4 linked regions of the Diceros bicornis minor genome follow. The protein of the gene in region 4 interacts with the protein of the main gene of each other region in a pairwise test. Links are inferred from orthologs where the notes say so. Each region holds a gene or a part of one and is shown on either strand. Other genes may lie near its edges.

Region 1 (7,159 bases), on a different chromosome or scaffold from region 4:
GTTTAATACGCAGCTGTCATTGTCTTGAAATTCTTCATCCTTTTGAACCTGCATTTGCATTTTGCCCTGGGCTCTGCAAATTCTGCAGCCCGGCCTGGAACAGCCCATGGTAGGTGCTCAAGGATTTGTGGAGTGAAGGAAGGGTGGCCAGAGGAGCCCCACTGGCCGGGGTGGGAGAGGTGGGGGGGGGAGGGGGGGGCAGAGACACGTGTGCGTGCCACCACTGTCTGGACACCCGTGCGCGTTTGCAGGAATCAGCCCTGGCGGAAACCCAGGTTGGGGAGGCAGGGCCTCAGGAGCCAGCCTGAGTGCCCGGGTGGATGGGGGCACTAAACTGCCTTCCCCTCCCCCGGGCAGCAGGCCAGCTGGGGAGGGGCGTCCAGATGGCAGAGCAGGCCACTCTGGGCAGCTGGCACCCGGCTCAGGCTGGGAGAGGCCTTTTCCCCACCCAGCTTGTCAGCCACTGGCCCAGCCTGGGAGCCCCTGGCCTGGCCCGACATGGCTTCACCCAGCCCAACATCCTCCCTGAAAACAATATGGGGACGGGGAGCCAACAAGATGGAAGGAAATGAGGATAAGCACCCTTGGCCACACCTTGGCCCTGAGCCTTCAAGCCTGAATTAGGGGACAATCACTACTCAAGCTCCATGCCTGGAGCTGGAGCAGGGCTGAGAAGGACAGTCAGGGGCGCCGTGCGTGTGTGTGTGCACGTGTGTGTGCGTGCATGAGACTTTGTACCCAACTGTGCATGTGCAACCGGACGGGTGGAACTTTCTGTGAGTCTGAGTTTGCGTAGTTGAGATCAGACTGTACCTGTGGGAGTGTGTGTACAGGACAGGGTGACAGGTCATGTCTGTGTGTGACTGTCATATGAGTGTGTGTGTGTTGGGGAGGTGGGGTACATGCATGTGGATGCAACAGGAACAGCATTTCACAGTGGTTAGAAATGCAGATTTGGGGTTCAATTCTCTGCTCAGCCACTCATGAGCTGTATGGCCTCAGACACATTAGGTTCTCAGGCTTCAGCCTGAGTATTTGTTAGTATGATTACGTTTGTCTGGATTCAAGTGTGTGTGTGAAGAGTAAGCCACCTCCTCCAGGAAGTCTTCCTGGATGCCGAATCTGAATTGCACCCTTTCATTTTTCTTTCTTGTCAGAAGCCATCTATTTCCATCGAAGTCCTAATCATAATTTGTTGTTATATATTTATTTGTTTGTTTATGTTGTTTCTTTTCTGTTTCTTCCACTAAATATCAGCTCCAGGGGGGCAAGGAGTTTTGCTCTGTTCACTGCTGTGTCCCCCGCACCTGGCATATAGTAGGCGCTGAATACTTGTTGAATGGATGAATGCAGGGCTGTGTCTGCATGGTACAGAGGGAGAGGTGGGTGCTCGCTGGGCTCCCAGGGGGCCCTGTGTGCAAGTGTGTTCTCTACTCTCTTTCTTTCTCAGCTGTTCACAACCATGCCTTCAGCCATCCTCACTTTTAGGGGAATGATGTCCCCTTATAAACTCCCTGTATCACCGTTAACACCATCTTTTCCTTTCTCTGGGTCTTACGGACTCAGTTGCTTCATCTGTAAAATGGGAGAGGGGATGGATCGGTTCATGATAAGCTTCCTTCCTGATCTCAAGTGCCATGAAAATAGTTTTAATCTAAGCCCTTCTTTAATTCATTCAACATTTATGGGGCGCCAACTGTGTGCCAGGCCCTGTTCTAAAGCCGGCCCTGCCCTCGTGGAGCTGAAGCGAACAAGGAAGGCAGGAACGACCCAGAAATCTCATTTAATCTCCAACACCCCCCCACCCCCGCCCTTGCCTGATGGAAGGTTCGTCTTCACGGTCTGCAATCGCCGCGGGTACTTCTCTGTTTAGACACGGATCTTGCTCCCTCGCCAGCCTTGAGGGGCAGCAGAGCAGGGACCCAGCTGGTCTTGTTGGTGGCTGTAGCCCCCGCCTGGCCACAGCGCCGTGGCGCATAGCAGGCTCTCGGGAAATATGTGTGAAATGAGCTAAGAAATAAATGATGGAGGAAAGGCAGGCTCGCGTGCATGGCCCCTGGGCATCCTGGCCGTGTCATTACCCACTTTGCAGATGGGGACATTGAGGCTCAGGAAGGCAAAGCCGCTTGCCGGGGCCCACCGCAGCTCAGTAGCGAGTGCGTGGCTGTGGGATACAGCAGACGAAGCTTGTGTAGCCCAGAGGAGCACTCCCAGCCCCCGCGCCCACCTCACAGGTCCGAGAAACGAAGCAGGGGATGCTCTGACGGGAGGAGGGGGGTGGGAGACCGAGGGACAGTGCAAAGCAACTCAGGGGTCTCTGTTTCGGTCCCCAGGGTTGGAGATGCTGTGCTGGCAGGAGATTCGGAAATGCTCCTCGCTGATGGGGCAGCTTCCGGCGCCCTCTCTCCAGTTCTGGGAGCTGGGGCTCCTAGGACCCCGTTTCGCTGGCACCGGGCAGCTTCAGTCTCCGAAGCCGGGGAGAGACCCCCCCGCGCCTACCCGGGAATCCCCGACATCCGGGGTCCTCCCCACACACCCCGAGCCCGGAAGCCGGCCTGAAGCCTCCAAGGGCGTACGGGGGGGGCCCGGCTTTCTTGGGGAGCAGAGGAAGCCCCCACTGTCCTGGCCCCCTCCCTCCGGGGCGCCGGGTCTCCCTCCCCACCGCAGCTCGCAGCCCGAAGCTTACCTTGCAGGGGGGCTGGGGAGGGGATGCCCCGCCCTCTCCGGCCTGGGGGGCGGGAGGGGACAGGGGTGTCCAGACCCTTTGTTTGCTGGGGTGTGTGTACGTGTGTGTGCGCGATTGTGAGACCCGCTGGGGTGTGGGTCCTTGCGCGCGTGCTCGGGCCGTGACGGCCGCTGAGATGCTGGACTGCCCGGGCTGGAGGGGGAGGGGTTGGGGGAGGGGGAGGAGAGGGACTCCCCCGCCCGCCCACTCACGGGGTTGAATGGAGCTCGAGGGGGAGGGGCGGCAGCGGGCGGGCGCTTTTGTTTGAATGGCCCCACCTCCTCCCCAGGCCGGGGAATCCGCCCCCAATCTGGAGCCCTTTACTCCATCCCCTCCAGTCCCCTCCCTGCAAACAGCAGCTCTGGGAAGAGGCGCCCCTCACCCGAGTGAAACTCCTCCCATCCCACCCGGCCCCCACGGAGCGCCCTTTAATCTGAGATAATCCCGGCCCTCGGCTGCAACACGGCCTTTTATCCCAGTATCAAAGCGTGGGTTGGGGTGTACGCAAGAGTGCGGCTGGGGTCGCCCAAGCTCAGAGTAAGGGAGTCCTTAGAGCTCCGGCCGAGGCAGGGGGCCCCAAACGAAAGGGGAGGGCCTGGAGGGGTCCTAGAGCACCACGACGAGGAAAGCCCCCATCCGCACCTCCACGATCCCCCCCGACCCGGCCCTGCACGGGGCCAGGAGCCCTGACCGCTGGCTAGACATTAGCGACACCTAGCGGCCGCACGGGGAGACGCCGCGGGCGGGCGCCCGGGACCCGTTGCGGGGGATCCGGGTGATTCCAGAGTGGGCGTGTGTGCGCGAATCCCCGCTCAAGAGTGGCGGAAGATGAGGACGCTGTGCCCGAGCCTGGAAAACAGCAGCCCCCAAAGCACAGCCACTTCGCCCCCACCTCCGACGCCCCAAGGGCAAGGCCATATCCCTCCTCCAGTTACAGGCTCCCAGGGCAGGGCCCTGTACCCCTCGGACTGGGAAGGTCCCCTGCGATCCGACACACCCCTCCCCAGCGTAGGGTTAGGTCCCTCCCCACACAGGGCAGAGGGGCGGGTAGTTTCGCCGAGGCCCCGCCCCTGCAGTGGGCTCGGGCTGACGTCACTGCGGCGTGACTAAGGGGACAATCCTCTCCCTCAGTCTCACGAACTGTCCCCTCCACCCCACGGCCGCCGCAAACGCCCGACGTGGGGCAGCGGGAGATGCGGGGGGATAGAGGTTAGAGCGCCCTCCCGTATACCCCCAGGAGGTGCCTGGGTCCGGATGAGAGGGGGTCTCGGCGGGGACTCCCGGGGGCCAGCACACGTGCGCAGGGCCCTTTAAGGCGAGCTCGGTCTCCAGCGCCGCCGCCGCCGTTACCAAGGATGTGACGTCATGCGCGGGCAGGGGCGTGCGCGCGCAGGCGGAAACGGAAGGGGCGGGGCTCCGCGGGCTGAGCCTCCAGCGCTGCCGCCGCCGCCGGAGCGGGCTGGGCCGCCGAGGCAAGATGGTGGACTACAGCGTGTGGGACCACATCGAGGTGTCTGACGATGAGGACGAGACGCACCCCAACATCGACACGGCCAGCCTCTTCCGCTGGCGGCACCAGGTAGAGCGCGTGCGCCCATCCCCTTCCCCCGCTGCCGGGACTCCGCTCCGGAGTTCTGCCCCCCGATACCGCCAGGGCCCCGCCATTGACACCCGGGATCCCCACCCCGCAGTCTGGACTTTCATTATCGCCCGGGGTTCCTTGATTCAACTCCGGGACCCCAGAACTGCCGGGACCCTGGGTTCCTGCCCGCGATCCGGGCCCCGCTTCCGATTTCTGCATGGAACTCCCAGTTGATCCATAGGGCACCTTCTTCGGAGGCTAGACTCTCAAGATAAGCTTTGTGGGTGCCCCCCAATCCTGTCTGGGACCTTCCATCTACACTCAGAACTCTGCCTCAGAGTCTGGACCCGGGTCCTATTCGGGTACCCACTTTTCTTGGATATCCCATCGGCCCTCCCCAGTTCCTAGAGTCTGGACCCCTAATACTTTGCTTCTATTCTGGAGTCTTCCTCCCTGGGTCTTGACGGGGTTCCCATTCAGATCCAGAGATCCCACTCCTCCAAACAAAGCAAGGAGCTCTGTCTTCCCCTGAGATTTCTGTTCCTGGCCTGGGACTCGAAGCCATACCCAAGACTCCTTTCCTAGAGTGTAGACCCGTGCCCCCCCAGGGCCTTCAGTCCCATCTAGGACTAGAGTTTTGGAATCGTGTTCCCTTCCAGACTGAGCCACCAGCTCCACCCTGAGGGAGCCTCCACTTCCAGCCGCTCTTCTTTAGTGTCACCCACTGCAGACCTCATTTCCCATCACACCTGGAAACCCTACCCACGTGGCTCCCGCCCAGCCAGAACTCCTGCCTCTGCTGGGTAGTGCAGACCCAGTCATTGCCCACCCCAAGACAGGCTTCCTGTGGGAACCTTTGCTGGCGTTGGAATTGTCACCCAAACCCAAGGCCACCTCGCCTTCCTCCTGACCCCAGGCTGGTCTGCTGTTCTCGGACACCCAGATTGTCCTTGCCCCCACCAGGGACCCTCCCAGTGTGATTCCAAATTCACTGCCCCTTCTTTTATCTCTTTGCTCTTAAATCCAGACCCAGAATCCTAAGTCTGGGTGTCCTCTTGCCCCCCTCCCTGCCCAGCAGTGCTGGCAGACCAACAGAATGGCTCTCATAAGACCTAATGGCCTAACCTGCTCCCCCAAATCAGAACTCCTGTACCCACATACCTATGTTATACTCTCAAACTGAGAGTGTATATTTCTCAGAACCTTCCAGTTAGAAATTCCTCACTCCACTCTCCCATATGGCTACTCCCAGTCATTTATCCAGAACCTCCTAGAAGGGCCCTTCTCTGTCCTGCCAAGACAGGGCGGTAGTCCCTACAGCTGGTTCCCGGTTCCATCTCCAACCCATTTCTTAAAGCAGCTGTCTCTTGGCCTGCCGGGCAAGCCCCTGAGGTGTAAGAAGAAAGTTCTAGCATTTGTGCTTCTTGCCGTGTGTAACACCTTATTATGAAATACTTAAGACCTTCACAAAGCTCTAAAAGACTATTCTTGGGAACACCTCTTTCTGTCACATTCAGAGGTTAATCTATAGCTCAGAATGGAGAAGGGTTTGGTCCTGCTGGGTGGGAGGCGGGTGCCCCCTCTCCTGCAGCGTCTTCCTCCCGCCACGCCCTCTTCCCGCCTCCCTCCTGGCCCAGAACCTTTTCCTGTCCTGCTGCCAAGAGAGCCCCGAGGCTGTAGTGGAGGCAGGGGGCCTCAGCGGCTCCACCAGCAGGCAAGCCTGGGTTCTAATCCCAGCCCTGCCCCTTGCTGCTCTGCTCTGGGGGCAGCAAGACCCCTGGTCCCCAAGACCACTGTAAGAATGAAATGAGGTTGGGTCTGAAAAGAACTTGGCTCAGGGCCTGAGAGGGAGTAAGGTAGCAGAGGGGGCGGTGGGGTTAGTAAAAAGGCATCTGGGTGTGCTTCTGAGCACAGGCCTGCCCACCTGGCTTCACATCCTGGCTCCTGAATCCTTGACTTGCTGCATGACCCCCAGCGAATCTTTTGATCTCTCTGTGCCTCAGTTTCCCCAGCTGGCAGTATTAATAGTATCCACCCCAGAGGGTTGTTATAAGGGTCACCTTATTTGTTTAACGCTTGTAATGCCCTTGGGACAGCAGCCGGCATGTGATGAGCTCTCTGTAAACCTTAGCCATTATTGTCATCATTTTTATTTAGATAATTCACACTCATGGTAAAAAAAAAAAAAATTCCGAAGTTTCCAGAAGGGGACAGGTGAGGCTTCCCAGCTCCAGCTCCCTGGCTCCTTTGCCATTACTGGTTTCTTGGGGCCCTTCCAGTGAGCTGTGCGGCGTCAAGATTCCATGAGCCTCAGTTTCCCTGTCTGTAAGGCGGGGAGGCAGTGGCACCTTCTGGCTGCCGTGGCTTCCGCCCTGCCCGGCCTGCTGCAGCCCCTCCCGGAGGTGTAAAGCCCAGGCCGGGCAGGCTGCCGCCCCACCAGCTCCAAGCCCTTTATTTAGCTTCGGCCTCCCTGGCGGCCACTCAGACGACACCTGGGAGAGCTTGGTGGCCGCGCAGCAGAAGCCAGCAGGGCGGTAGGGTCCTGCTGCCAGCCGAGGCCAGCTGTGTGCCAACCCCAGAGAGCCCCTCGCAAGGCAGAGGGAAGGCTCCAGGGTGACGCAGGCCCACGGTGGAGAAGGGGAGGCGGCAGGGGCCAGGGCTGCCTTCTCTTACCCCTCCACGAGGCGAGAGCCTTCTCCACCCCTTATCCACATGGGGAGAGGGAGCTCCGGGTTGGCCATGCCAGCCCTGTGGGGCCTTAGAGAAGGTTCTCCCCATTCTCATGCTCCATGTGCCTGGCCCTGTGCTCGAACTCGTGATACAGCCTCGAATGAGGCCCAGACACAAGTCAG
Region 2 (7,328 bases), on a different chromosome or scaffold from region 4:
ACGTCTCCCGTGTCAGACAACGCACTCCCTCCATGGCGGCCCCTTCCAGCTGGGGTCAGCTCTGAAAGTCAGCCCTTCGTTCTCAGCACACATCTATCTCCTGTGGCTACTACCCACTTGTCTTTGGAGAAGAAAGGAGGTCCAGACCCACCTGTGTCCCCCAAGGGGAAGCATTCTTTGAGCAGAGCCTTCCTGGGACTAGAGATTCTGGCTCTAAGCCCTCCGCTTTGCCTATCTGCTTGGGAGCTGGACAGTGACCCAGGAACTCTAGGACAGGGGAGATGGGTGTGGTGCTCCCAGAGAATGGACAAAAATAAACCAAAACAGATCTGGGCCTCGTGTGGTCATACACATACACCCCATTGCCTCCATGGCAAAACCTCTCTCTGCTCTTTGGGACACTCTGGTGTCTTCTTCAAGACTCTGAACATAGAGAAATAAGAGGGCTCACAGGGGGCTGACTGGCTTCCCCCTGGACCCACACGACCAGTTCTAGACCAACTCAGACCCCACCTGAGCGGGTGGAGTAGGAAGGATGGTGGAGGCAAGTATGTCCCTAAGCCAGGAACAGAGGTCTCAGTGGGCACCTTCCTACCCTCTCTGTCCACTCTGGCTACCTTTCCACCCCCAGCCCCTTGAGACAAAGCAGGCCACCCATTCCCCCCACTTCCTCCTCTCCCTAAAAGCCTGCCCAGGATACAAATGCAAATACATCAATGACCTTTGATTCAACACCTAAAATGTCAGCTACCCAAGGGCAAGGTTTTTACTCATTTTTTTCACCACTGTAATGTACCCCAGTGCCTGGAAGAGTGTTTTGTCCATAGAAGGTGCTCATTAAATATTTAAGTATTTCTTGAATGAATACCCACTGGGCACTTCTATTTACTTTTCTCTAAATTAAATATTTACCAGAAAGGCTGACGGCCCCCACTTCATTCACTGATTCAACCAATACTGACTGAGCTTTTACTAGGTGCCAGGCATATGGTGCATCATTATGACTCAGCAGAAACTCCCCACAGCCCAGAGAGGTGGGGTGAACTGCCAAGGTCACACAGCATATCTGTGGCAGAGGAGGACTAGGCCCCAGGCTCCTTGGCCTCCAGAGCCCAGATTTCTTTCCATTACACCATAGGCTTGTGATTGCAAGGCAGGGCAGATTGGCAGCACACACCCAGACTGGCGCCAGGCCGCGGGGCACTGTGGGGCCCATGCTGAGGGACAGATGAACGCCTTGCAGCCAGCTGCCCCCGGTGACCAGCCTGGCCAGGGCCTGACCGCTTCCGGCTGTCACAGCTAGTGCGGGGTCCTCCAGGAGAGGGCGCCCGAGACTCGCTCGGCCTGTGCCCTCCCTAGCAGGCCCACACGCTCCTCATGCGCACATCAGTGCATGCCCCCATTACCGACATTCAGACGGGAGACCCACAAGCTTGTTCCAGGCTCTGTGCCAGGCCCTTCTAAATAGTTACTATTCATTTTAATATTTAATATAATAATTTAAAGCCATCACAACAAGCTAAGTCAGATCATGTAATTCCTCGGCTCAAGATCCTGAGATGACTTCCCATTTCTCTAGGAATAAAAGCTCCATGGTCTACAAGACGCTCAGCTATCTGATCCCTGCTACCTGTCTGATCTTATGTCCCTCTACTCTCCCCCCACTCCCTCCAGCCCCTCTGGCCACCTGCTCTTCTCAGAGCCCCCAGGGCACAGTCCCACTCCTGCCTGAAGCAGTCCTGCCCAGACATCTGCACCATTTCCTTCCTCTCCCCTTCAAGATTGGCTCAGCTGTTCCCAGCGAGGTCAATTCCTATACCCTATGTGAGAACGCAAGCCCCCACCACACTCCCATCCCCCTTACCCTGCTAGATTTTTTTCCACAGTACTGTCTCCTTCTAACGATCTATATCGTTGCTTTATTTCTTTATATTTGTCTCCTTCCTCGACTATAAACAGCATGGGGGCAGGAATCCTTGTCTGTTTTGTCCACTGCTGTACCTCTAGTGCTTAGGACAGTGCCAGGTACACAGTAGGAACTCAAAAATATATGTCGAATGAATGAATAAACCGTGAGGTGGGCTACGCCCATTTTATAGATGAGGAAACTGAGGCTTAGAGATGTTAAGGGACTTGATCAAGATCACACAGTTCATTTATTCAACCAACTGACCAGCCAACCAGCCAACATTTACAACCACCTACTGCATTCCACGCAATTTGGTGACGCACAGTGCTGGGTGGCTTTGGGTTATTGGTTTTTAAAAAGTCTCTAGTCCTTTGTTCCTGATGTTCCTTCCACTTACAATGCCTTCCTCCACATTTTTACCTTTTAGAATTTAATTTTCGTTTAAGAATTCAATTCATCATCCACAGTTGCCAGGGGTTGGTGGAGGGGGCGTGGCTGACTACAAAGGGGATGCTGGGCGAATATTTAGGGTGATGAGACTGTTCTGTATGGTCCTGGGGTAGCCGATGCGCAGTTCTCTGCATTTGTCAAAACCTGGAGAACTGCACATCACAAAGAGTAAGCTTTAATGTGTGCAAACTAAAACAGAAAATTTCCTTTTTCAAGGCTATTAGTCCCTATGGACATAATTCCGTGTTTCAATTGTTTCTTTCTACCCTCTCCATGCACACACAGACATAAGCACACTTTGACTTCCGTCTCCCAGAATGATGGTGGGGGATAAGGAGGCGACATTAAGAGTATCTTTCTCCATCTCCTAGGGACTCAGGGCTCTTCTCTTGGCTGCTCTCTGCCCTTCCCAGCTTCATCCCTCAGGGCTCAAGTTCAGGCCTGGGTCTCTCACCCGAAGTTTTTTTTAAACTTTTTATTTTGAGATAATTACAGACTCACAAGTGGCTATAAGAAACAATACAAAGAGAGCCCATCTACCCTCCACTTGGTTTCCCCCAATGGAGTATCTTGCATAACTATAGTACCATATCACTGCCAGGAAATTGCCATCGATACAGTTTACCCACCTTCTTCAGATTTTACCAGTTTTACATGCACTCATTAGTGTGTGTGTGTGCACGCGTGCATGTGTGTGTTTGTGTGTGCACTTAGTTCTATGCAGTTTTATCACATGTGCAAATTCATGTGACCACCACCAGAGTCAAGACACAGAACTGTTCCATCACAAAAGTCTCACTTGGACTCTTAAAAGCGGTAATGTCCTATCTTGATGTTTCTCAAAGTGCAACTCTTAGATGCCTCTGAGTCACCTGGACCACTTGTTAAAAGTGCAGATTCCTGAACTCTCCCAGCGACCCTACTGAACTTGTGTCTCTGGGGGGGTGGCAGAACCTGTACTTTATAGAGGCCATACTTTGAGAACCACTGGTCTAACTGGTCTCCAACTCGCCCATCTCCAGTTCACCCTCCACACTATGGCTGCCAGAGGAATCGTTCTAAAACACAGCTCTGACCACATTATCCTGCTGCTTAACACTCTGCACAGGGGCCCAACTGCCATCAGGATAGAGATCTTAGCAAGCAAAGCTCTCTCCGTCAGGCCCCACCTCCCACCTCCACTCACCCCACCACACTGCGGTTCAATCCCTCCAAACTCCTCCAATTTCAGAACACATCATCTACTTTCACCACACTCTGATTTTAGTCATGCTGTTCCCTCTGCGTGGAACGTCCTTCCCACTCTTCTCTGCCTGTTGCAACCCTATTCAATTACTCATTTTTATGGATGAGGACTTGGAGGTTGAGAGATGTTTGGTGTCAGCCAGCAAGTAAGGGCAAGACCAGCTGGGAGCCGGAATCCTCCTGACTCCTTGCTCCTGGTTTTACTGATCACCGCGCTGTCATGGAGGCTGGGGGCCGCCCCTGTCCTCTTCCCTGCTGTCTGCTCACCTCCACTTGGGCCTCCCTCCCCATCTGCCTCTCAGGCAGATCACCCAGGGCCTCTCCCTCTCCCTCAGCCAGTGGGACAGGGAATCAGGGGTCTGAAAGGAGGGAGGAACAGGAATGGGATTGCGCTCAGGGGTAACCCGACTCTGGGGTGGGGGGCAGGCACACCACGGGGGAGGGGGCTTGGAACAAGTCCTCAGGGACCTGTTTAAGCTGAGGCAGGCTATGGGGGCTCCTGGAGGGAGAGAAGGAGCAGAGAGATGTCCAAGTTCCCTCCTCTGCTGCCCCCTCCCTCCACAGCTCCCTCGCAACCCGAGCCGGGGGGCCTAAAAATAGCCCCCGAGGCGCAACCACTGGCCGCCCTGGTGACCTTCTGGGTAGCACAGGCCGAAGGCAGGCGGGCAGCAGGAAGGCAGGACGCCGGCCCCCCAGGACTCATCTCCAGGGCACCGTCCCCTGGGTGCCCCCGTGGCCATCCAGTTCCAGCGTCTCCCCAGCCCAGCTCGCAGAGGCCATGCAGAAAGCCCGGGGCATGCGAGGCGAGGACGCGGGCACGAGGGCACCCCCCAGCCCCACGGTGCCCCCGAAGAGGGCCAAGGTGGGGGCCGGCGGAGGGGCCGGGGCCGGGGCGCCCGTCTTCCTGCGGCCCCTGAAGGACGTGGCGGTGTGTGCGGGCAGCGACGTGCGGCTGCGGGTGGTGGTGAGCGGGACGCCCCAGCCCGGCCTCAGCTGGTTCCGGGATGGGCAGCCCCTGCCCCCGCCGGCCCCCGAGCCCAGCTGCCTGTGGCTGCGGAGCTGCGGGGCACAGGACGCCGGCGTGTACAGCTGCAGGGCCCAGAACCAGCGGGGCCAGGCCTCCTGCGAGGCTGTTCTCACAGTGCTGGCGGTCGGAGGTAATGGGGAGGAGAGGGCTCGCCTGGCGGGGTGGGGTGTGCAGAGGTAGACCAGGCCTGCTCCGGCCACGTGGGGAGGTACCGGTTCATCCAGCCTTCTCCCCAGGTGCTCTGGCTTCTCAGCTGTGCTGATCCAGAAGTGACCATCAAGAGCAAAGTGCAGGGAAAGTGATGTCAAGGTTGAGAGGCTCTGTGTAGGAAGGTCAGAGGTCAAGGGCCAGCATTTGGTAGGCAAAGTCTGAGCCCCACTCAGGCCTCTCTGGGAATTCTGTGAAAGCCTTCCTAGTTTCCCTGTAGAGAGAGGCCTTCTGGGAAATCACCTTCATCAGCTTCAGCAGTTTAGATTTGAGACCCCTGATCAACCCCTTACAGGCATGTGCATGACTGAAGGAGGGGCCAGTCCCCTGGTCCTGCTGCACTGTTGAGGGGATGGGTCAGAGCTCCTTGCAGTCCATTGCTGGGGCAGGTTGATATGGTTGGCACCAGGCTGGTTGGAAGAGGCCAGTGAGTGGACAAGTATGAACAGGGTGCAGAGCATCAGGGCTGGGGTCCTGGGCGTGTATGGAGGTGGGTGTTTGAGAATCCACATGCAAGCATGCACGTGGCAGGTGCGTGTACCGGCTGTGGAGGGGTCTGGTGGTACAAGCAGATGAGGGACAGGTGTTTGTAGAGTTGGTATGGAGAGTCCATGGATATGTCTACCTGAGGTTCTAAAGTGGATGTTTGGAGGGCCTGGAAGGGAGATGCTTGTGAGGGTAGAGTGCCAGGCTCGTGTGTAAAGGGATGGATGATGGTCCGAGGCAGAAGGGGAGAGGCATGAGACTAGGCCTGGTGCTAGGGTCCTGCTGGGGCTGGTGTGGGTGCCAAGCCAGGGCCGATTCTCCTTGGGTCAATTTTTGGGCTTCCTTTTTGACTTCCTCATCCCCGAAGCCAGCCAGTTCTTCTCCAGGCTTAAGACAGAACCTTGGCAACCTGAGTCTTGACAAATAGAATTCTGAGAAAGTAGGCTACAGTCGGGGGAGATGGCAAAGAGCTTGGGGGCCGCTGAATCTGCCCTGGTCATTTTCAAGAGGGAATTCTCACTCCAGCTGGATGATGTCTTGTAGGGGTATATGCTTGGGGGCTAAGGAGGAGGCTCAGGGATGAAGGACCTAACAGCTGGAGGGGAAAGAAGGCTCTAGAGTGCAGCCAAGTAAAGAGATGAAGCAGAGGCTCAGCTCCCTCTGTCAGCATCTCGGCTCTCTCCCTAGCCCCACCCTGCCCCACCTCCTACAGTCTTCAGTGAGAGAGAGGCCAAGGCTGGCTTCTCTTGGGTGGCCTCACACCTGTCCAGGTACTGGCTTTCCTAGCCTGGGGATAGGGGACCAGGCATGTCCTAGCAGAGCCCTGAGGTGAGAAAGGATCAGATTCCTTGGGGATCTTAGCTCCGGTCCCCTTAGGGGCAAAGGGGACTGAAAACAGAACATAAATCAGAGGGCAAGATAGATTGATGAGAATACGGCTTGGGGGAGAGCGATATTAGGGAAGGGAAAGGCAGCGCTGAGAAGGAGTGTGGTGGTCATAATGTTTGTTTAAACTTGGGAAGAACCACAGAGAACCACAGCTCCAAACACTGCCTTTTACGGGTGAGGATGCTGTGGTCCAGAGTGGAGGGAGATCTGCCCCAAGACATACAGCTAGTTATGGCCCTCCCAGAACTAGGGACTAGTCCTCCTGGTTTCTGATCTGGGGACTTGTTACTACTCCAGAAGTTCTGAATGGAGGAGAGAGAAAGGGAGGGGGAGCTGTCCATTGTATGGAGAGTAGTCCAGATCTGGCCTTTCTGAAAACGAGAGCCCCCTACTCTGCCCTCGTCCCCCAAAGTGGGGAGAGTGACAAAGTGCTAGAGCCCCCCAGCAGGGCTGTGTCCTCAGCCCTTCTGTAATCTGGGGCATGGTCGGCAGAGGTGAGTCCTGGCTGGGTATGTTTAGACAGAGGCTGGGGGCTGGTTCCAGGCTGTTCTGGTGGACTAGCATGTCTGAAAGGCTTGGGGTGAGGAAAGGACCCTCGGTGCTCTGGGGCTGGATGTGGGGCCTTTTGACAGTCATGTTAAAACAGGAAGAGGGATGGGTTGCAGCAAGTCACATTTGAGAATTTTTTCATCCTGGTGAAATCTTTACCCCAAGGGTGGCCTGATAATTATCATTAATTGGTAATAATTCTTAGTAGTCATTTATAATAATATGAATAGCTACTATGTTACTGTGTGGCAGGCAATATGCTATCACATCCTTTGATATATCTTTTAAGTCCTGTGGCAACCCTGGGGAAACTGAGGCCCAGAAGGATTAAATGACATGTCCTGTTGTACAGACAGAAGAGGGCAGAGCAAGAATGGAAGGCTTGGTCTGTCCCACTGCAAAGAACCATGTGCTTAACTACTACGCCCCTCCCACACGATGTGGGGGAGGGAGGGGCTTTGCTTTGGTGATGTTGGGGGACAGACTGGGTGACTCGGGCTTCTTCCTCCTATTGCCCGCTCCCACTCACCTCTGCCCAGGAATAGGTCCTGCTCAGGGCAGCTGGGC
Region 3 (7,698 bases), on a different chromosome or scaffold from region 4:
CACCGGAAAGCCCCAGCTGCATCTGTCTGCCCAGGGTAGGGCACTGGTCAAGGAAAACCAAAAGCAGCCAGGGGTGAGCCCACACTGCATGCCAGGCCCTGTGCCAGGTGTGTGATGGACATTCCCTCCTGTTTCCTCACTACGGCCGTGCAACGGATGTGTCGTGACCCTAGTCCACAGTGGAGGCTCAGAGAGGAAAAGGGACCTGCCCGAAGCTGCTCTGCCTGTAAGAGGTGGGGCCAGATATGCCTCACCCCAAAAGCTGTCTCATCCCGTTTCAGCCACCCCCTGCCCCGTTCTGTTCCCAGAGCCCTGTGGCGTGCTCAGGTCTGTGACTTGAGGCCAACTCTTGGGCCCAGTGACATATCCCCTATTGCCCTCAGCCAGGGAAAGATGCTGCCCATGCTCCAGGATTCAACCAGGCCTGGGCAGCTGGCATCCCCAGTCTTAAATGCCTACAGGGGGTCAGCCTGTGCCCACTGTTCTCTCCAACTGCACTGTTTTCCTTGCCAGGCACTAAGTATCTTTGGAGCAAGAGCCTGTGTTGAACACACCTGCACCACCAGCCAGAGGCGGCACCTCCGTTCAGTGCCCAGACAGCCCCAGGCTCACTCTCACCCCTGGCCTTTGACCTTTCTGTGCCCTCTGCCTGGCCCACTCTCTCCTTTTCCACTTCTCTTCACCTGAACTCCTCATCCTGCACATCTCAGTGTAGATGCTGCCTCCACTGAGGAAGTCCAGGTTAGGTGCTTCTTTGGGCCACTTCGGCACCTCCACCCGGCCACGAGCCCCCAGAATGTGTGTGCACAGGTTCCCAGCATTGTTGGGGCTACCTCCTTGTGCCACTTCCTTTCCAGGCACCCTGGGGGCCCAGCCACAGAACCCACATGTCCGCATGGGCCCTCGGCCCAGGCAAAAGATACAGGCCAGGCCAGCAAGGAGGCCGCAGAAGAGCTGTAGGAAGGGTGGCTCGGAGCTGAGCAGCGGCGTCAGGGCGAGCAGCAGCCATGGCAGCAGCCGCGGTGGCAGTGCCCCATGGGGCCGTCTAGGGTGACAACCCTGCCCCGCCAGCATGGCCAAGTGGACAGGCATGTATCCGCAGCCACCGGCTGCACTGGACACCCCGAGGCCTGCCAGCAGCACGGCCATTAGCCCGGTGGCCAGGGCGAGCAGGGCAGAGGCATGCAGGAACCGCAGTGTGCCCAGGTGGCACTCCTGCTGCCAGCCCAGTGTAGGCAGGAGCAGCAGGCTCAGGAGCAGGCCGGGTAGGGCCGTGTGGCCCAGGGCATGGGTCAGCAGCCGGTGCACTGGGGGAGAGAAGGGGTTTATGTGCCAGGTTAGTGGCCCTAACCCCCAAGGCTGTCCCAGGTGTTCCAGGTTGGAAATTACGCTGCAAGGGCCACCTGCTAAGCCAGCCTCCCCTCTCCAGGAGTCAAAGTCTGCCCATTGCCAGCACTTTAATCATGCATGCAGGGGACCAGGACCAAGGACCTTCAAACACTGTGACTGCTCCCCTGCTGTATTAAACAGAACAAGCCGGACCCAACGCTCAGTCTTCTCAAAAGCAACCAACTGTGCACGAGTCACTTAACCTCTGTGAGCATTAGCTGGGTTCCTCAAATGTAAATAGAAGCTGCTGTTATTACTGGGAAACAGGCACTCAGCTGGGGTCACTCCTCGAACCCCCAGCACCTCCTCCCCACTCTCATGCTTAGCTGAAAGCCTTAGTTCTTATTTCCAGCAAAAGTCATCAAAAAGGGAAGTCATCTGAAAAGAATTCCTACCCACAGGCTCCCACCCCTCTGCTGGCCCCTCTGCTTTCCCTTCTTGGCTGTGAATGAGCTGGGCATGCTCCCGTCCAAGGCTGACCTTCCCCAGGGCACACCACTCCTGCCAACTGGTCTCAGGCCCTACAGCAAGTCTCCTGCCTCCTCCAAGGCCCATGTGGCCAGCCCTCACCTTGCCAAGGGTCCAGCAGCAGCTCTGGGGCTAGGGCAAGGCTGGGGCCAGCCCCCACCAGCCACAAGCTGCTCATGAGCAGCATCAGGACCGAGGAGGCGAGAGGCAGCGCTGGTGACAGTAGGCCAGGGGGGCCTCTGGCAGGCATAGCTGGGCTGAAGGTGGTCAAGGGTGGTCTTCGGGGTGTGTGCTAGAGGCAAAGGAAAACAATAAGTTATTTCTGCAGCTTTTCTTTGATTTCCTTTCAACCACCCTACCAGCGGCTCCATTTTACAGAAGTAGAAACTAAGGCTGGAGAGGCAGGCCCAGCAACTTGGCCATGGAGGAGCTCGGATCCTAACCACGTTCCTAGCCATTTTGCCATCCCATCTGCCTATGTGTGAAGACGGGGAGGGGCCAGGCCAAAAGGGCCCTGAGCCCTGATGGGCCCTAAGGAGGAGTCTGGGGTGGGAGGCACAGGGCCAGGGAAGTTTAACGGGGGCCCTGGACTCCCAAAAAGAGGGGTGGAGCCCCCCATGGCAAACTCAGGGCCATCTCCAGCTTTCCTCTGCTTCCCTCTTCCCTCTGGTTGTGGACCAGCCACCTTCCTCCCTCCTCCCCTCCACCGGGCTCAGCCTTAGGGCTCCAGATGGCCCCAGCTGCACTTAAGGGAGGAGGTGAGGCCAGCCAATGGGCAGGCAGATTAGGGAGGAGGCGGGACAGACTGGGTGGAGGAGGGGCAACAGGAGTCCCTCACCCTGAGTGCATACAAAATGACACCGGACTGACACATCCCCTTCGTGAGTCCTGAGCACAGCCCCTCCAGCCCTAGCCCCTCTTCTCACAGGAAGGTTTTAGTATCCACTCCACTTCTTCCTGCTGTGCATCCCTGGGCAAGTTTTCCAGCCTCTGAGCCTCTCCTTCCTCATCTGTAAAATGGGGATTAAGAAAATCCTTTCCTTATAGGATGAGAAAAAGGAATGGGATAATGCAGGGCCGGGCCCACAGACCCTGCTCAATGAACTGCAGCCATCCGCCTAATTGTGGGAGGCAGATATAGCCAGCAGCTGGCCCACCAAGAGGAGGCCTCAACATAGAGGCAACTGCTCCTGCCTAGCTGTTTCAAGCTCTGGCCCTCAAACATGCCAATTCCCTGCCCACAAGGCAAGGGTTTTTCTTCCTTGTTCTCTTCCCTCACATCTAGCCTGTCCTCCAGGCCCTGCTGGAACCCCCCTCACCCCTGGCCAGGCCTGCCTCAGGACTCCCACGGAGCTGATTTCATAGGGCAGGAAGCAAAATCCCACAGAGACCCAAAGGCTGCCTCACCTGCTCCCTTGCTTAAGGGCATCCTCAGCATCAAAACCCACCTGCCAGTTTCCTGCAGGAAAAATGCAGAAAGCTCCTCTGCCTGCAATGTCCTTGCCTCCATCTCGCCAATAGGCAAACTCCTATTCACGCTTTGAAGCCCAGCTCAAATGTCCCCTTCCCCTCCTCTGGCCCCCCACATCATGGATCTTAGCCTATCTAATGAGCACAGCTTGGCCTTTCTCCTTAGACAGGTGGTCTGAGCTGGGGAAAAGGGGTGCTCTTACTCATCCCCCAGTTCCCCCGGGTGCTCCCAGCACATAGCTGGTGCTCTATATGTGTTGACTGAAATAAAGCCACTAGCTTTGCTCCAGGTCCCACTGAGGGGTTTGGGTGAGCTCTGCACTTCCCTGGGCCTGGGAACCTGCCTGGGGAGACTGGGTTGAGTCCAGGAAGGCAGACAGGTGCCAGCCTTGTCCGGAGCTATGGCACCCACTGCCAGCCTGCTTTTGCACCCTCACAACCATCCCTCCCTGGGTACCTCAGCAAGAGTTAAGGACTTGCCCATAGACTAACAGAACTAGGACTTGAGTCCTCCGGGCCTCAGTCTCTTCATCTATAAAATGGGGCTGTGCACCATCAGGCCCTGCCTACCTTACTGAGAAGCCAGGAGGACAGAATGGGAAGATAAAGACGGGTAAGAGTCTTCCGGGTGATGAAGAGAATGGGGGTCCCAAGGTGTAGGTCAGACTCAGCTTTGTGACTTTAGGAAAAGTACCCAAATTCCCTGGACCTCAGTTTCCCCTTCTGTAAAAACAAGAGTTTTGGATGGGGGATATTAAAGGGCCTTCTCAACCTCGACCGTTACCGGGGAGGGGGGGGCGGCTCTCGGGCCGGGCACCACATTCGGGGCCTCCCATCCAGCCCACCGGCCTCAGCCCCCTCCCCCGCCGGCCTGGGCCACGTGTCGGAGTTACTCACTGCGGAGCGCGCCCCCCGCCCCCGGAAGCCCGCGGGGGGCTCCCGCCTGGGAGTCGGGACTCTAACTTCCCGCCACGGCGCGAGCGCCCGGAGCCCATTTTGTTCGCAGTCGGGCGCGTGACCTCTGCCGACCGGCCGGCGCACCACCCCCTCCGCCGCCGCCCGCCGATTAGTCAGCAGTTGTTCTAGGCCCGGGTCCCTTCCCCCAACCCTCCCGCCGGCCTCCGTTTCCCTCCAAGGCAGACTCTTCAGAGACGGTCCCTAGAGCCAGCGGACGTAACCATTCCGTACGACTTAGCCTCGTGCGGAGAATCACTCCGGCTTGATACCAAGACACGCTCACCGGCCGCTCCGGCCCCTTTGGTGCTATTTTGGCCCGCGCGTCACGTCCGGCGCTCTTTAGAGAGGAATAGCACAAGAGTTGCGGGCGGGAAGGACCAGAAAGCTGTGGTTCATCCCTCCTTCCCCCACCCCCGTGGCCTGGCCCCATGGTAGCGCCCGAGGTTGCGGGTTTCGCGCCTGCGCAGTGCGGCGCCTAAAGGGAAAGCGAGAGGGAGACGGACGTTGAGAGAACGAGAAGGAAGGAGAGAAAATGGCGTCCACGGGTGAGTGTGGTGGAGCTGCGGTCGCGCCGGCGACGGCTGGGTCGCCCAAATCGGGGGCCGCTCGTCTCTGGGGGTGGCCGGGGCAACTAAGTGGAGTTGCTGAGAAGCGTGTGAGGTACCCGCCGCGGCCCGACGAGCTCGAGGGCCCGCGTTCCCCTCCCCTCCCCCCACCGAGCAGGCCGGTTCTGGAACCTTCTGGCGCCCCCGGCGCGCGGGGGGCTCGCGGCGGCGGGGGCGCGCGGGGCTCGCGGTGGTCTCTATTGTGTGGCGGCCGTCGGGTCCCGCGCTCCGGGCCGCCCGCCACGTGGGCGGGGCCTGCGGCCTCCCGGGCCCCGCGTGGGGGGAGAGGCTCGGCCAAGCCTGGAGCCTGGCGCCCCGAAACCGGAGGCGGGGGGCCAACGGCGGCTCTGGGGCTGCCACTCTGACCCTCCCCACCCCCATTTCCAGGGAGGCGGTTCGAGCTGGAAGGCGAGTCTGCCTCAGTGAGAAGCCCGAGTAGGGGGAAGCATATCAACAAAAAAGGCATCGCGGGTCCGTGGGCCGAGGGGCGCCGACCGATGAGCGGGAGCCCCGTCATCCTGATGGCCGGGTCGGCTGGGGCGTACGGTGCCGCCGAGCTGCCCCTTTGGCGGGTTCTAGCCCCGAGCCGAACTTTTCTGCCCGCATGGGCTTTAGAGGGAATGTGCTCCCCCTTTAGAGCCTCCCCATCAGCTGCCCCCTGGGCTTCTCCGTTTATTATAGTTATTAATCCCATCTCTTCCCTCCCTCAAAAGTAATTAAGTAGTCTCCTAGGATCATTTTTCAGTAGACGCCGAGGGAGATCTGTTGTATAAGGTCAGCCCGAATCGCGAGGCCAGAAATCCCTCCCAAAAGAAATTTCTGGTCTCTTTGACCTAGGAGAAACAAAAGGCCCGAGTCGGCGTTTGAGTTGTGCTCGAGCAATCGTCTCGCACGTTTATTCTCATATGTTAAGCCGACAGGCTTGTTTATTTCGTGGACTGATAGAAAAGAGGGAAAGGAGGCACACAGTGGGCTTGGAAAGAAAGCTCGGGGTGGGAGCTCGGGCGTGATGTCTAGGGTGGTTCTTGCTGCACAGAGCGTTTGAGAGTGTAGCCTCCACATCACCTGCGGTTTGTTCTAGGGCTAAGCTGTGGTTATTGGTAGGATGGGGCATTATTGCCTCCGGGGGTGTTCTTAGAGGGCCTAATTCCAGGCCCTAGAGGCAGTGGGAGAAGACGAGATAAGACAGGAGAAGCTCTGGGTCCTTCAGAGTTTTAATTCGAAAAGGTTCAAGACTCCAGGAACTTAGGGACAGTTTAAGAACTCTTCCCGAACTGTGTGGTCAGTAAACAGGCAAGTAAATGCTGGCTGTTAGTGCCAGGGTACAGAGTGCCCCTAGAAGAGAGGACTCTGGAATACCACAGTCCAATACACATCCTGGTGGGAAGTGGTTTCCTTAGAGGCCTTTCCACCTTCCTCTTCCCTGCAGTGTTTGAATTATGTAAGGGGGAGTCAGAATGTGTATGTTGAAATTTTTGTGTGGCTGGACGTGCCAATTTTTTGGTCTATTTTGCTCAAACTCTCTTTACTGGTAACCACCAGGTACTGTGTTAGAATTACAGTTGTGGTTTATGTAGACACCCAGCAGTAGGCCTGGCTGGGGAACCTTTGGAGAGTCCCGCAATTTATCTGGACTTTGGTTTCCTTTCCTTTGAAATGGAGGAGTTAGGCTAGATGTTTTAAGAGCTTTTTAAGCCCTTAATTTCTGTCTTTACAGCAAAGCATTTGGGCTCCCACAAACTTCCCCCATACTGACTTTAGCTTATTATGTGGTATGAAGCTCTAAATCTCTGCAGTTTGGATACTGACTGCCCTAAAGTATCTAAAAGCCACTACCTTGGATAATGCTCCATGTTTTTCCTACTTATGTATATCATATATAGAGAAGTACCTAAAGTGTGTCTGGTTTAACAGAGAATTACAGTGCAAACTCCCAAGTAACCACCTTTCAGACCCGGAAATAGGACACTGCCAGCACTCTAGAGGCCCCCCTGGATCACAGCCCCTCTCTCCTCAACCTGGCCTGTTATTTTTAGTGAAATCTTCAGCTGCAAGTTTGGAGGTTAAAAGCAAAACATAACTGATGGCTAAATAATCTGACCAGTGTGTAACTGGAACGTTTTTAAGGCGGTATAATAGTGTTTATGTGCAGTAGGTTGATAACATAAGTTCTCATGAAACAAATTTGCTACCTCACTTAGCCGAACAATGTGGGGCTAAATCTGCTGATTTCACACACACATCGGAGATCATTCGCTGTTCCACATCAGCTTTGCCAACTTTATGTTTTACATAACTCTTCTTGTGTAAAAGTCTTCTTGCAAACATTGAACTTACATGTCAGTGATTTAGAATCATTTCTCACGTAGAAACCTCAGCAAAATGTAGGTTGAAATATTTTGATTTTTGATGCCTCACTGGTGTGTTTGTGAATACCACATGGAAGAAGTGATTTGTATTTACTTTTTATATGCCACAGAGAGCATAACTTGTAGTGCTATTGAAAATGCCTTAAGTTTTAACCTTAAAATGTCTTAGGGTCATCTTGGAAAAATCAGTTTGTTCATTATACATAGCCTTTGGGCATTTGATTTGATCATGTTAATGATTCAGGGTTCTGCGTTAAAGATGTGTACAGAGGAAGGAAAGTAGTCAAGTGAGGTGTAGAGAGGTAGAAAGATGAGCCAACTTGAAAAGATGGATTCAGGAAAATGCTCTGAGGCCAGGTGGACTGTGAGGCAGGATGGAGTTGAGGTAGAAACCCCACCATGAAGAGCTGAGATGTCAACTGTTGCTTTCAGATGAGGGA
Region 4 (7,119 bases):
TTACAGTGCTGTTGGCCGAGAGTTCACTGTGAATGAATGAACAATATCTATTAAGTAAGGTGACTTTAAGCAGAAAACACACATAAAATAAGGTTGTTTATTGGTGGGCTGACAAAAGTGTTGGGACCAGAGGCTCACAGGAACCTGACCCTGAATTTTCCTTAGGAACGATGGCTCTGTGTTCACTAAGTCAGTGTTCGCAGCGACTTTTTAGAACATACACCACAAATCATAAGAATCGACCGTATATTGAAATAAAGTTTTCAGTGTTGATATAAAAATGAGTGTATATAATAATAGCCATGCTTCTTCATTAACATCAATTAACAACACCCAGAGAGCGTCTAATAACCATGATTTCTAAGTAGAGCAGGAATGACATTTTGAGGTATATTAGTTATTGCTGTGTAACAAATCCCACAAATTTAGCGGCTTATGATAATACACTTTTTTTGTGTGTGTGTGTAGAAGATCAGCCCTGAGCTAACATCTGTTGCCAATCCTCCTCTTTTTTGCTGAGGAAGACTGGCCCTGGGCTAACATCCGTGCCCATTTTCCTCCACTTTATATGGGACGCCGCCACAGCATGGCCTGACAAGCAGTGCTGCTGTGCGCGCCTGGGATCCAAACCTGGGCCGCCAGCGGAGCACGCACTTAACCGCTTCGCCACAGGGCGGCCCTGAGATTCTTTTTTTTTTTTTAATATAAAGTCCTCAGAATCTGGTGTGTGTCTTGCGCTCGCAACACATCTCGGTTCAGACTTGCCACAGTCCATTGCTCATTGCCCCATGGGGCAAGTGGCTGCCATGTTGGAAAATGCAGAATTTAATGCTGATGATGCCCCCACTTCTGACTCTTGCTCAGATCTCTCCCCTGAACTCTATACCCAGGTATCCCCCTGCCCAATGCCATCCTCTTTTCAATGACATTTGGTTATTCTGTAGTGTTGAAGAGATAGTTTGTATTAATTTTTTGCTCTTCGTAGCAGCACATAGCAAAAGTAATTGATCGGGTCAAAATACTTGGAAATCAGAAAAAAAGGTTAAAAAATGCTGACACGGGGCCAGCCTGGTGGCGCAAGTTGTTGAGTGCACGCGCTCCGCTGCGGCAGCCCGGGGTTCGCCAGTTCGGGTCCCGGGCGCGCACCGACCCACCAGTTGTCAGGCCATGCTGCAGCCAAGCCCCATATAAAGTGGAGGAAGATGGGCACGGGTGTGAGCCCAGGGCCAGTCTTCCTCAGCAAAAAAAGAGGAGGATTGGGAACAGATGTTAGCTCAGGGCCGATCTCCCTCACACTCACAAAAATGCTGAAACATTTGGAAAAATAGCAAAAAAAAAAAAACGGGGGGCCGGCCCGGTGGCGTAATGGTTAAGTGCACACGCTCTGCTGCGGCGGCCCAGGGTGTGCAAGTTCACATCCTGGGCGCGCACCGATGCACCGCTTGTCAAGCCACGCTGTGGCGGCGTCCCATATAAAGTAGAGGAAGATGGGCACGGATGTTAGCCCAGGGCCAGTCTTCCTCAGCAAAAAGAGGAGGATCGGCATCAGATATTAGCTCAGGCCTAGTCTTCCTCACCAAAAAAAAAAAGGCAGTACAGTAGGGGTCAAGATGTGGGCTGTGATAATTGATTAATAGGACTTCATCAAAATTTAGAATCTCTGCTCTTCCAAAGACAACGTTAATAAAATGAAAAGGCAAATCACAGATTGGGAGAAAATATTCCAAGTAGATATATCTGACAGACACTTGTCTCCAGAATCTATAAAGAACGTTTACAATTTCTGAATAAGAAAACAACACTGTAGGGGCTGGCCCGGTGGCTCAAGCGGTTAAGTGTGCGCACTCCACTTCAGCAGCCCGGGGTTTGCGGGTTTGGATCCTGGGTGCACACCGAGACACCGCTTGTCACACCATGCTGTGGTGGCGTCCCATATAAAGTAGAACAAGATGGGCACAGATGTTAGCTCAAGGCCAATCTTCCTCGGCAAAAAAAAAAAAAAAAGAGGATTGGCATAGCATATTAGCTCAGGGCTGATCTTCCTCACACACATACCAAAAAAAAGAAAAAAGAAAACAAAACCGTTTGTAAAAATGGGCAAAAGACTTGAACAAACACTCGATAAAAGAAGATACACACAAGGGCTGGCCCGGTGGCATGGTGGTTAAGTTCGCGCGCTCCGCTTTGCAGCCCGGGGTTCGAGGGTTCGGATCCCAGGTGCAGACCCACACACCACTCATCAAGCCATGCTATGGTGGTATCCCACATACAAAATAAAGGACGATTGGCACAGATGTTAGCTCAGGGCCAATCTTCCTCAAGCAGAAAAAAAAAAAAAGATACAGAAAAATGGCCAACAATCACACAAAAAAGTGCTCAACATTAGTGGTCAGGACAATGCAAAAGAGAACCACGAGATATCGCTTCATACCCACAAGAATGGTTAAAATTCAAGAAAATGGTGGAACACACTGGAAAACTTGGGAGTTTCTTATAAAGTTAAACATACACCTAACCGTAGCATACGACCTAGCCATCTGCTTCTAGGTTTAGCCGAGAGAAATGAAAGTGTGTGTCCACAGAAAGACTTGTAGGTGAACGTTCATAGCCACTTTATTTGTAATAACTCCAATCGGGAAACTACCCAGATGTCCATCAGCAAATTGTGATACAGCCACACGATGGAATACTCCTCAGCAGTAGAAAGGATGGGACAACTGTTGTATGCAACAACATGGCTGAAACTCAAAAGCATTATGCTGAGTGAAAGACAGACACCAAAGAGCACAAAGAGTATAATTCCATTCATATGAAATTTTAGAAAAGGGAAAGCTACACTATAGTGACAGAAAACAGAAAGGGGGAGGTCTTGACTGGAAATGGTCATAAAGGAACTATCTGGCGTGATGGATAGATTCTGCAAGTCGCATTCATCTTCATCCAACTAGTAACTTTCTGCAGGACGAGGAAAGCTTCCTGGAGTAGGCGGCCTCTGAGCTGGGCCCTGACTGACGTATAGGAGTTGGCCAGACGAAGGGAGGCGGGTGTTCCCGGCAATGGGAGGGGCTTGGCAAAGTCCAAGCGGCTTGAGCGGGCTCCCTGGGTTTTAAAAACTTGGGGCAGTTAAATAGAGGGCTAAAGGTTAAATGCCTCAATGCCTGAGGCTTATTCCTGACTTGTCTCGCAAGCCCGGACAAGCCCTCCCTCTCTGGACCTCGCACTGCTTCACATTTCCCCTCGGGTAAATAGGCATACGCTCTCTTGTTCCTCCTGGACTCCCCTAGGGCTGGGAGAATCCACCGAATGGGCGATGAGTGACAGTCCTTCTAACCAATCGCTGAAGCCTAAAACGGTACCTACCTCCTGATGGGCCAATCCCGTGTTCCCCTCGAGGCCGACAGCTTGGCGAGGGCAGGCCAAAGTCCTCGTGACGTCACATTTGGGCTAAGCCAATAGCAGCTATTAAAAGGCGGATCGTTTTGGTGACGGACAGCTCTATTTCAAGATGTCCACTTAGCGCGGGGCCCGCCGGGAAGTTGTGAGGCGGTGCTGGTGGGGGAACGGGCGGGAATTCCTGGTTGACTTTGCCCAATCATCAGTCGCGCTTCTTACGATAGACGGGCAGTCTTTCCCATCCCGGTCGACTTAAGGGGGCGGGGCTCTACACGCCAGACTGGGCGGGCCCCTGAACTTTGACGGGCGTCTTCTTCGTCCAATTGTCAAATGGTATTCCCAGACGGGCCGCCTTCACTGCCAATGAGATCTCCAGGCGGGGTCGCGCTGGGCGGGCCGTGGACCCTCCGGTATAAGACGGTCCCGGGGGAGTGCGGAGAAAGGGGGGGGTTTCGGCGGCCGGAGGAGGAGTAGGTGCGGGTGAAGATGGCGGCAGCGGAGGCCGCGAACTGCATCATGGAGGTGAGCGCCTGGAGCGCCGTCGGGGGCGGGGGCGGTTTGGGGGTCGGTGTTTTATGCCTCCGTCATGGAGAAGGAGCTCCGAATAGACGGATTGGGGCAGAAGGCCCCCAGCCGTACCGAGAGGGCGTCGCATATTCCGGATCCGGGGGTACCTTTTGAAGTTCGGGCTCCCTAGCTTTCGGGGGCCCGCGGCAGCCGGCCGAACCGTGGGTATCGTGCCCCCTCCCACGTGGAGGAGGGCCGGGGGCGCTTCCGGCCTGGCCCCCACGTGGCCGCGGCGCGGTGGGTGGGGAGGGGGTGTGCCGTGCCCGGTGGCCTGGCGGGCTCCACGTGTGGGACAAAGGCCCCGCCCCCGACCGGAGGAGGGGCGCCCGGGGGGGCGGGGAGGAGGCTCCGACCCTCCCTCGGACGCCCCCAGCCCACCTCCCCGGGGATCGTGACATACGCCTCTGGTGGCACTTACCTGGGGTCCTCTGCGAAGTAAAGAGCCTCTTAGGAGGGGCGATGTATCTTGAGCCTCTGCAACCCCCTTTCCGGGAGCGGGGCGTCTGCTTAGGCATCGGTCCAGGTTTCGTGCACTTTGGGGTTGGGGTTGGAGGAAGACTAAGAATTGGCCCCCTTCGGGCCGTCCCGTTTCCTGTTGCTGGATTCTCCCCCGCCCTGCGCTCTGGGAGCTGGGGGGATGGGGTATGCCCCTGTGACCTCCCTCTGGGGGGGCACCTAGCTGAAGGAGATCCTTCTCGATAAGGCTTCGTGCACCCCCTTGTGGCCATTTCTGGGTGTGTGGGAGGGACATCTTTTTCATGGGGCGTGTCCCAAAGCCCACCTCCTGGTTGGAGCCCTCCGGGGCAAGGGGAGGGAGAGTTTGTCTGCTGGGAAGGGGATGTGATGGAATACAGGCTGCGAGCTTAACCCCTTACAGGACCCCTTTCTCCGACGCATTTGTGAGAGTGGGAGATGACCTCCCCCTTCCTGATGTCCTATTTAGGGGTCCTGAGCTTTGATGCATGAAGTGGTTTCCCGTGAGGTTTGGTTCTTGTGCTGCCATGTGGGGCTGGTTGCGGTGCTGGATTTCAAGCCCTCTTGGGGCTCGTCTGGTGGTGGTATTAGTGGTGTTGAGAAATGGGCCCCAGTGGGAAATCCCCTCCCCAGGCTTCCTTACTGGCTTGGAGGATGGGAGTGGGGCTTGGAGCCCAGTGGGTCGTGTCTGTGACTTCACGCTTGGAGGGTGGTCACATCTGGAAGAGATGTAATGTGATGGGGCCTCAGTCACCAAGATGCATACCATTGGGGGGGAGCTCCCAGGGGTCACTCCAGTGTGACCACCCCCCATGGCTCTCTCCTGGACCCGGGCCTGTATCTGGTCGTGGAAGAAATATCTTCCCCAGAGGTTGTCCCCGGACTTGGCCCCACACCTGGGGGGCTTCAGGGCCTTGGATGGGTGTGTGAATGAGGGGAGAGGGGCTTGAGGGGCCAGAGTCTGGCCATCCTCCCTGGGACTACCTTTCTGGGTAGAGGGTAACAAGAGAGGTGATTGGTTCCAGCTGGTTTTGTTCTGGCCTTCCTGAGCCCAACGCAGGAGGTAGAGGCTGGGGTGCCACCTCTGGTGGGGGTGCCACACCTCCTTTCTGGAATCCTCTCATAAGAGACTGGTTTGCAGAGGTGGCAGATGCCCAGTGGGTGCACCTTGCCAGCCCCCCTCCCCCAGCTACTCCTGGCACCCCAGGATGGGGGTGTGTGTCAGGAAATGTCACCTAATCTGGGGGGATTAGATGATGAGGGGGAGTGACAGCTGGCAGTGCCTGTGTGCCCGGCGGGTGCCATTCCTCTGGCCAGGATGGGGGAGGTGTGTATGGTCAGGTGCCTGGCCAGAGAGGGGCAGTGTTGGGGCAGGCCACCATCTCTCCAGCCACAGCTGAGACAGGACCCCTCTCTTCTCCCTCCACTTCTCTCTTTTTAAAAACAGCCCCGCCTCTTTACTTGCTCCCTCTGTCACCACTCCCCACCAAGGAAAAGGAAAATTGCAGGCAACACCCCCCTGCCCCTACGGGCCTGTGTCCTCTGGCCTGGCCTTCCCCTAGCCACCCCCAGTAGCTAATCCTTTCTCCCTGTTACTCTCTCCTAGAATTTTGTAGCCACCTTGGCTAATGGGATGAGCCTCCAGCCGCCTCTTGAAGAAGTAAATATCCTTTTGTGAGACCCTTCCCCACATAAACATGTCTTGCCACACATCAGGCCCTTCCTAGCAGTCTAACCATGATCTCTCTTGCTTCAAACTGTTTACTCCGTACCTCCGAAGCACTTACTCCAAACTCCCTCCAGCTCTGTGGCCCCCAGCTGGCCTCCCCCAATACTGTGGCTACTTCCTTAACTCCATTCCCAGCCCCCCTTTGCCCTTCCCTGTGTCGACCCCAGTTCTGCTTCCCCTCCCCTCTCCAGCTGTGGGCTGAGCTAGAGATGGGGGCAGAGAGACTGGAGAGATGGTAGGCGTGGCTGAGGTATCGGGGTGCTCCCCTGGATGGTGCTTTGGGGGGGGTCCTGGAAAGAGAGAATGGGGTTGTTAGGTTTTGGGGTTCTGGGGGAGGCAAGATGGCAGGCGGGGGCTGTAGGTACGATTTGGGGGGTGTCTATGCTCTTCATAAGTAGGGACCTGGAGGTTTAAGAAGCCGTGGGGAGCCCCCAGTTTTGACCCGCGCTCCCATCCACCCCTCCCAGGTCTCCTGTGGCCAGGCAGAGAGCAGCGAGAAGCCCAATGCTGAGGACATGACTTCCAAAGATTACTACTTTGACTCGTACGCTCACTTCGGCATCCACGAGGTGAGTGTGGACAGTTCCTGAGAATGCTGATTCTTCGTGGGGTTAATGTTTGGCAGGGCTGGACCTGAATTTCCCACGCATGTGCAGTGCCTCCCCTGGCAGCGGGCCGCCCCTTTGCGCATGCGTGGCACACGCTCCGGGGGTCCTTTCGCTCAGCCGTTGCCTTGGAGACCGAGGTGAACCTGGCAGCTCCACGGGGCCGCTCTTGGGAGGCTGGAGTGGGAGCGCGCATGCGTGCCTGCGACTCCAGCCGGAGGGCGGGGCGTGCCGGTCTCTGCCGCCCTCTCGTGACCGGTGGTGGGACTGTCCCCCAGCTGCTCACGCCCGGTGCGCAGACGTGCCTTTTTGCACCCTGTGGAGGCTGAGGTCCCAGAAAGTAGCTGGGAT

What was found.
Region 1: the proteins of PRMT1 (region 4) and CDC37 interact in binary tests that used the Homo sapiens proteins (3 or more experiments, as listed by UniProt). The link is inferred for Diceros bicornis minor from reciprocal best matches to the Homo sapiens genes PRMT1 and CDC37.
Region 2: the proteins of PRMT1 (region 4) and SPEG interact in binary tests that used the Homo sapiens proteins (3 or more experiments, as listed by UniProt). The two-hybrid records come from large-scale screens. The link is inferred for Diceros bicornis minor from reciprocal best matches to the Homo sapiens genes PRMT1 and SPEG.
Region 3: the proteins of PRMT1 (region 4) and EWSR1 interact in a two-hybrid assay, tested with the Homo sapiens proteins (2 studies listed by BioGRID and IntAct). The link is inferred for Diceros bicornis minor from reciprocal best matches to the Homo sapiens genes PRMT1 and EWSR1.

What each region holds. Positions count from the first base shown.
Region 1 is NC_080769.1:8,807,343-8,814,501, forward strand, and holds the start of CDC37 (hsp90 co-chaperone Cdc37), read left to right. Parts: upstream 1-4,158; 5' UTR 4,159-4,202; coding exon 4,203-4,304; intron 4,305-7,159. Other genes in the region: collagen alpha-1(I) chain-like, read left to right, coding at 2,334-2,806. UniProt on the Homo sapiens protein: Co-chaperone that binds to numerous kinases and promotes their interaction with the Hsp90 complex, resulting in stabilization and promotion of their activity. Inhibits HSP90AA1 ATPase activity.
Region 2 is NC_080776.1:9,696,972-9,704,299, forward strand, and holds the start of SPEG (striated muscle preferentially expressed protein kinase), read left to right. Parts: upstream 1-4,327; 5' UTR 4,328-4,382; coding exon 4,383-4,761; intron 4,762-7,328.
Region 3 is NC_080774.1:22,947,417-22,955,114, forward strand, and holds the start of EWSR1 (RNA-binding protein EWS), read left to right. Parts: upstream 1-4,714; 5' UTR 4,715-4,816; coding exon 4,817-4,829; intron 4,830-7,698. Other genes in the region: RHBDD3 (rhomboid domain-containing protein 3), read right to left, coding at 1-22, 924-1,307, 1,960-2,149, 4,568-4,714. UniProt on the Homo sapiens protein: Binds to ssRNA containing the consensus sequence 5'-AGGUAA-3'. Might normally function as a transcriptional repressor. EWS-fusion-proteins (EFPS) may play a role in the tumorigenic process.
Region 4 is NC_080773.1:25,063,222-25,070,340, forward strand, and holds the start of PRMT1 (protein arginine N-methyltransferase 1), read left to right. Parts: upstream 1-3,864; 5' UTR 3,865-3,879; coding exon 3,880-3,915; intron 3,916-6,040; coding exon 6,041-6,094; intron 6,095-6,305; exon of another isoform or gene 6,306-6,395; coding exon of another isoform or gene 6,396-6,413; intron 6,414-6,630; coding exon 6,631-6,732; intron 6,733-7,119. UniProt on the Homo sapiens protein: Arginine methyltransferase that methylates (mono and asymmetric dimethylation) the guanidino nitrogens of arginyl residues present in proteins such as ESR1, histone H2, H3 and H4, FMR1, ILF3, HNRNPA1, HNRNPD, NFATC2IP, SUPT5H, TAF15, EWS, HABP4, SERBP1, RBM15, FOXO1, CHTOP, MAP3K5/ASK1, MICU1 and NPRL2.